Arabidopsis thaliana: one gene and its partner. The protein of the gene in region 2 interacts with the protein of the main gene of each other region in a pairwise test. Each region holds a gene or a part of one and is shown on either strand. Other genes may lie near its edges.

Region 1 (3,756 bases), on a different chromosome or scaffold from region 2:
AAATTCCCATGTATAATTATATTGTTAAATAGTTTTTCATTTATTACAAACATGATTTACTTGACTAAAATTGAAGGTGAGAAAATAAGATGTATAAATTAAAGTGAAGACTATTTTACCTTTTTCTACAAATAAAATAATAATTACAAACTATTCTTTTTCTCAAACCAGCAATCCCACTGAAAAACAAAGTGGGAATTGTAGAAGAGACCATCTATACGCATCTTACCCTTTCTAACATAGTTTTTGTGTTCTTCCTACTAGTTAAAATGCCACCCAAAAAAAAAAGAAAATTAATATTTTAAGTAATAAAATTAAACGAATTACTACTATTCAACAAGCTGCAGATGGGTTAGTAAAAGGGTTGAAGAAGTGAGGCTTTGAGGAGATAGAGAAAGCTCCTTTGGCCGTACTTCCATCTACAATCACCGCGGTAGCCCCGCTGCCGCCACCTCCTCCTCCATTACCCCCGCCGCCGCCGCCGATTCTCTCACAAGAAGGACACTTCGTTAGAGTCGATGCAGGCATGTGCATGTAAAAGGGCTGAGTCAATTTTAGGGTTTTGAGTTCTTGAATCTCTTTCTGAAGTCTTATGTTCTCATCTGCTAATGTTTCACAACACTTCTTCAAAAACTCACAATCTACTTCTGTTTGCTTCAGCTTTGTCCTGCTCATTCATTAAATAAAATAAATAATTAAATATATATAACCGAAAGAAAAATCATATCACCTAAAAAATAGAAAATATTTTCACCTACAAAATTTTCTGACTATTAAAGAAATTTTGACACATGAAAAAATCAAATATTCTGATAATTTATAATATAATTTTTTTTACCTGGCTCTTCTATTTTGAAACCATACTTCAACTTGTCTAGGCCTTAGATTCAGCTGTCTAGCCAGAACTTGCTTTTGTTTCTGTAAATAAAATATAACAACAAAGAATCTGATTGGATAAGAATTATCAAAAGTGATTAGTAACGTATAATAAAAAAGAATTAGGATTAAGGATATGTAGTTACGGGATTAAGGGTGCTATGATCCTTGAAGCTTTCCTCAAGAAGAGCAGATTGTTGTTTCGTAAGCCTAAGTTTTTTTCTAGCACTAATACCTTCTTCATCTTCATGGTAATCACTTATAACTCTCTCCGTCATCTCTTCCTCCTCCGGCGACTCTTCGCCACCGTCTCTCTCTCTTTTCACCACCCTCCCGCTTGAGAAAGAAGAGACTCCGCTGTGAGATGACGTCTGACGGCATAGCTGGTCAGCTCCGGTCACCACGGTAACCGAGGGATCGCCCGAGAGGCATAGAGTCAACGACGGCTCGAGCTTGTAAACGGAGGATTGTCTGATGGTACTATTGTAATTATTTGGAATTGGTGAGGGACCTAATCCAAGAACAAGACCTGTGTTGCATGTATCATCAAAACCCATCTGAGTCGAAATGAAAAAAATATGCCTTTAAAATTTATCTATCTTTGAGATTTCGAGAGGAAAAGGAAATGAGTTTAGAAGATAATGGGAGGAGATGAAGCCAATGGGGCTTCTTAAGAAGGAGAAGAAAAGTATTTTTTTTATTTTATATTTTTAAGAAATTGATGGGTGGGTGGATGGCTAATAGTTATTAATCAAAGGAATGATTTATATTATTTTAAAGAAATGATTTTATTTTCTTGGTAATTCTTTTCCTGAAAGAAAAAAAAAATAATGTGGGAAATTATGATGGCACAATTCTCTCTACTTTTATTTTTCTTACTTGCAAAGGTTGACCAAATGAGCATCTCACTTGGCACTTGCTACTATTCTTCCCACTAATAAGAGAAAAGTTCCCGAAAAAGTTCAATGATTTTATATTTGGTAGAAGATGGAATTATCGTATCATGAATATAAATTAAATATTATATTTAAAGCTTTCTCCATTCTTTTTCTGGTATCATTGGGTTCAGTCGGCATCGGTATTTTAGATTTTTATATCATGAATATTTTTATCATGAAGCGTACGTTATTGTAGACAAAAAAAAAAAAAAGAGACGAAATTAGTATGAATAGTAATTAGAAAGTGATTAAGAGGTGCCTTTAAATAACGGACCACAAGACAGTTTTACTTTTACCCACTAATTTTCAGCCTCCTTTTCCTTATCATAGAAACACATTGGCCCTTGATGTTTTATTCATTTATTTAATTATGTATTATATATTTTAGTTATTTTTTTTCTTCGTATACATATGGATAGTGATCCCCACCATCTTGTTTAGGTTTGGTTCTCTTGATGTCATTCACCAATTAATTTAGTACTTTTTGGAAAGAGTTAGGCTTAGGCATATACTTTATTTTCGAAATTTTTTAAACAAGGTGATTCATCCGTACCAATAACTCGTTACATCCATAATTAGTCTCGAGCTTTAACTCACAGTTATCTATATAGATTACAAAGTATTTCCTAGAGTTTTATAATATATCATATCGCGCTTTCTCTTTCAAGATAAACTGATGTACCAATAAAACATATAAGAGAAAAAAGGAAGTAAAATCATTTTGAAACTAAAGTGTACGAATATATTTATATATTAGGGTAAAATACTAAAATAAGAACAACTATATATATAAATGTCACTATACCATGATAACAAATGTTACTGATTTATACCATGCATGGTGTTAAAAGCCGGAATTCAAACTATTATATTTTGAGCAGTCATTACATCACAAATTAAGACTCGGTCAAGCTATATCGCTAGATATAATCAAAAGTCTTAAGTCCGTAGTTAGGTTTATTTTACCCGATTTTTATTCAAATTGCAATATGTGGTCGAAACAGTTGTAAAAAATGGGTGCTCACCTTTTAAATCACTTTTTGTTTGGTTACCTGACGTAACATTAGAATTATCAAGAGAACACACAAAGGAGAAGTACAATAAAAGTGGGTAGAAACTAAAAAAATGATATGGGTGAATACGATTCGTCAACAATAACCTAAAATCTTTGGAGTAATGGATTAAGAAAGTTTATGTGTAACGTTTCATTAGGTTTGGTCTCAGCTTTGTTATTTGTTTTGGCACTTCCCAATAATGAATTTGTCGGCTATACTCGTCCAAGTAAAGTTTTTTTTTTTTTTTGTCGACCGTCCAAGTAAAGTTAGGTTACCCATCTTATACATATTATTATTATCATTATTTTTAATCCTTAATTATTTTTTCATTTATAATCTACTCTTATATATATATATGTATATATATATATATCTTTCTTATTTTTTAATTAATGCATTTTCTTAACGAAATTCTGTTTTACCCCCTAATTCTGCTAGTAGCACACACACGATATTAATGCTTCAATCAATGAAAAATACCAATTATAACTTAATGTGATTTTTCAGTTCATATCATTGTATAACATTTGACTTTTTCTAGGTACGACGAGTTATCAATATGCTAGGAAATTAAGAATGATGAAAGTTCGTGGATAATCTTATATTAATTATAAATTGATTTTTTTTTGAGGAATATTAATTAAATTGATAAAAAGTAGAATAGTTCATCAATTTTAACTATAAACTTTAATATGGTGTCGCACCGTGGAATTGGTGCTCATTGCTACTTGATTAGACTATTTTTCTAATAGAATATTAGTATAATCTGACTTTGACATTGTGCAAATATTCATGAATTTAGCTCACATTATGTATATAATATAGAAATATATATTTGTATTTGTCAACAATATTTTATTTTCTTGTAAGCCAGAAGAATTCAAACC
Region 2 (3,756 bases):
TAAGATAAAGCCTAAGAAGAAACATAAGAACACTCCTAAACAAACAAAAGCCATAATAAGAAGTCATGTCAAAGTACTGATGATAATGATAATAGTGATCGCGATGATGAGAACGGCGATAGTGATAGACTGAGAGTGATGGTGGTGGTGGTGAATGGTGAGAGGATCAAGCATCTCTACGCAAGACATGGACTCGGATGGAATGAACCATCTTCTGGTCATCATGAAGAAGCTCGCATTCGACAGTATCTTGGTGCTTTTTGAGCCTGTTCCTTCTGCAAATCCTGTCCCATCCTTTGAAGCAAACCCTCTTATCAGCCCATTTTCCTCTTAGCCCTACTAAGGTTCCTTCTCCATCGATGTACTTGATGGATGAACCAAATTCAAGGTTATTATCCTTCACCACATTGGCTGGGATCAACTACACACAAAACAAAATCACCGCAACATGTTAAAGCCATACTGAAAGTAAAACAGAGATAGTAACTGAATCTGAAGTCTTATATTCGTCACTTTTACCAGTTCATAAATCCTGTTCTTGAGCGTAGTCGGAAAGTGTGGATTAGTTAAAGCTTCCACGTCCAAGTTCCCTTCAAAAACTGAAACAAAACAATCTTTAGTATATTAGATTGTGTTTTTGGATTAACAATGTTTATGTACTTTTGAAAAAAGACTATCAAACCTGCAGCATCGGTTGCAGTCTCTTCGTCAATCGGATAAAGACTCTGGCTGATTTCTTCATCTTCATCAAAGCTACCATCATCATCTTCATCTTCATCTTCATCTTCATCATCATCATCTTCAACAACATCAGTTGAGTCTTTTTCGTCTTCCACAACAGAATCAGAATCAGAATCAGAAAGTGGTATGGCTTGTATTTCAGCTCTGACCTCTTTGCTACCCCAACGATCAAAGACACTCACTTCAAAGGTACGATGACCATCATACACAAATGTCATGAACTCTCCGTTCTTCAGCTCATGTTCCTCTGCGAATTTTGGCCATCCTCTAGTAAGATACGCAGCTCCGCTTATTTTCTTCAAGCTCACAGTCCAAAGTTTTCCTCCAAGACCTTGGAGCTTCACTGTCTTTGGCAATGGATCAGCAAGAAATGCCATAAAAGGCAACGGAATCATCTGATGAACCAAACACAAATGTCAAACATCAGATTACTTGTTACAACTTAAAACAAAACTCAACTCAACTCCACAAGTAAAATGTCATCAAAGTCATAGAGTCTCTCTGTTTCAAGCTAAGCAGTCACAGTTTTGACCTATGCTTTATTGAACGAGATACAAAGACACAGATCCAGAGTTTTTCATCACTTCCAATTTCACAGCTCGTTTTCTCATTTCCGTTTAGAAGCAGAAGAAAGATTGAAAACCCGTAAACCCAACCCCAACTGCTAAACTAGCTAAAGATTATATCTTTCTCATAAAGCCATAACTTTCATACTAATACTTGAGATTCAAAGTCTGAAACTTTTCCTACTACAGAAACAAGGAAGAAGAAAGAAAGAGAGAGAGAGGTTCTTACCAACGATTCAGAAGCCGATTCAACGAGGAACACTTTGAAGAAACGAGGATACAATTCGCTATCGTCAGCCATGGAATGATGTTGGAAACGAGAGAGAGAGAGAGAATCGAAATGGGTTTCTTAGCTAGTGAGAGGAAGATAACGTTGAAGGTTCAGAGTTTAAAGGAGAAAGAGAGAGAGAAATGAGTCAAAGAAGACCTCTGCTGCGTTCTTGTACAAAACAGAGTACTGTACTATCTCAAAGCTTTATGATTTTTGCAGTTTAACCCATAAATTCTAGTAAAAAAGAAAAGAGAAGCTGATTTCTAATTGGTGCTTGACTTCTGAAACTTGTTTTCGATCGGTACTTACGAATCAGAGACTATTTCCATCTCTTTCCTCTGTTTTTTGTTTTTTCATTTCTTTTTTTTCTTCCTCATTTTCATCTTCGTTTAACAAAAATAACTCTTATCGTTGTTAAATTGACAAAAAACAATAAACCAAAATGTTATTCAAGACCTCTTTAAGTTTTTAAAGTGAAGCTAATATTTTCAAACGTTTACAAATGCTTTTTAGATAAATAATTATTTATCTAACAAACACACAAATACTCTTGCATCTATACAAATGACACAGAAAATGCATGCATGTGAGGAATTCAATATTCTAATACAGTAAATAAGAGAAATAATTATCAAAAAGAAAAACGAAGTTTGCGTGTTCTTCTGTTTATAGATTTGAATGAAACATCATTCTCTGCAAGCCAGGGATTGGTTCTGTTTTCTATGGTGAGATTGTAGCCCACTCTATCCACTGTTGCGTTCATATATCTTTCACTTCATGTTCTTATTATATACTTCATTGGACTGTTTTGTTTTCAGATTTAAACCATTTACATTTCGATTAGAAAGAGTATCTTATAAACCAGATTAATTCGTAAAATTTCATAATACAAGAACTCGTTAGATTAAAGATTCTTTACGCACAAATTTATAATGTGCTTCCTTTTTCTGGAGGATGGGATACATAAGAATCTAACATGCAGAGAAATTCCTATTTGTAAAAAAGAAAGCTCCATTGCATGGAGAAAACTATTGATAACTTCAAGCATCTCATTCTCATCATCCCTCAAGTTGATCTTCTGCATCGATTTTGGAATACAATTTGTTCGGCAGTTTAGGAGACGAGACAGAGACAACCTTTGAACTTGCCTTACTTTTTGAATTCGTCGACTCTTGTATTGGAGACCTCGCAGGTTGAGTCTTTCCTCCAGACTTCTTACTGGCAGATGAAGATGATCCATGTCTTGCCTGTTTAACAAAGAGAGAAAGAAATAGAGACATCATTTACTTGATCAGATTCCAGACAGAAACAGATCTTGTGCCAGTTGGTTCCAATCTCAAGGAACAACAATTGCATATTTGGTCTCTAGTTTGTTCATGAATTTTGGGGACTTACTCCATCAAAGAAGCCGATTTTTGGTGATGGCACACGGAGACCTGATGGTTTTGCGGAAGCTGAAGGAACCAAACCACCGTTGATAGCTGAAACTCGTTTTGTGCCTTCCTTAGCATCAGCTTGGACAACAGATGTATCTTTGGAGTTCTTGAGAGGTTTCACAGTTTGTACTGTATTATCATTTGCAGGAACCTTTTCACGAGAGACTGTTTTCTGGTTACCATTAGCCATTTTACTAGTTTCAGAAGCTCGTGATGACTCTGATGAATAGTCACTGATCGAACCAGCAGTTGGTACACTGGAGGAAAGCTTGGGCTTGGATGTCTTATTGGTTTGTTGGGGTGGGATTCTTGGCTGGCCCATAATACCTCTAGATGTAGATCGATTTGCCAATGGCTGGGAAGATAATCTGGAACTTGAATCATTCTTCTTCTTTATCGAATCTATAGAAGGTTTGTGAGAAGCGCTAGATGAAGCACTGGCACAGCTCTCTAGTGAAGAACATGAAGAGGTCATTTCATTCTTTGAGGCATCTGAAGAACGTGAAGAAGACTTAAAAGGCACACCAGGTTTTGGTAAGACGGGTTTAGCACGTCGCGACATGGATATTCTTGGACCCAGAGGCTCTTTACCTGTACTATTCAAGGTCATACAATATATTTCAATTTTAAAAAAACAAGTGTAAACTTCTTTAAGAACAAGTTCTGACTAACCCGCAGGTAATTTGGAATTCTTTTCTTGTTGCGTTTTGCTTATATCTAATGATGACCTGTTCGTCGATGT

What was found. Proteins that work in one complex are often made in the same cells at the same time.
Region 1: the proteins of AT3G53310 (region 2) and HAT9 interact in binary tests that used the Arabidopsis thaliana proteins (3 or more experiments, as listed by UniProt).

Annotation. Positions count from the first base shown.
Region 1 is NC_003071.7:9,704,616-9,708,371, forward strand, and holds HAT9 (Homeobox-leucine zipper protein family), read right to left. Parts: upstream 1,603-3,756; 5' UTR 1,434-1,602; coding exon 1,023-1,433; intron 919-1,022; coding exon 839-918; intron 668-838; coding exon 334-667; 3' UTR 17-333; downstream 1-16. UniProt on the Arabidopsis thaliana protein: Probable transcription factor.
Region 2 is NC_003074.8:19,766,761-19,770,516, forward strand, and holds the start of AT3G53310 (AP2/B3-like transcriptional factor family protein), read right to left. Parts: upstream 2,027-3,756; 5' UTR 1,609-2,026; coding exon 1,537-1,608; intron 1,137-1,536; coding exon 683-1,136; intron 600-682; coding exon 520-599; intron 422-519; coding exon 167-421; 3' UTR 1-166. Other genes in the region: AT3G53320 (mediator of RNA polymerase II transcription subunit-like protein), read right to left, coding at 2,637-2,825, 2,974-3,605, 3,687-3,756.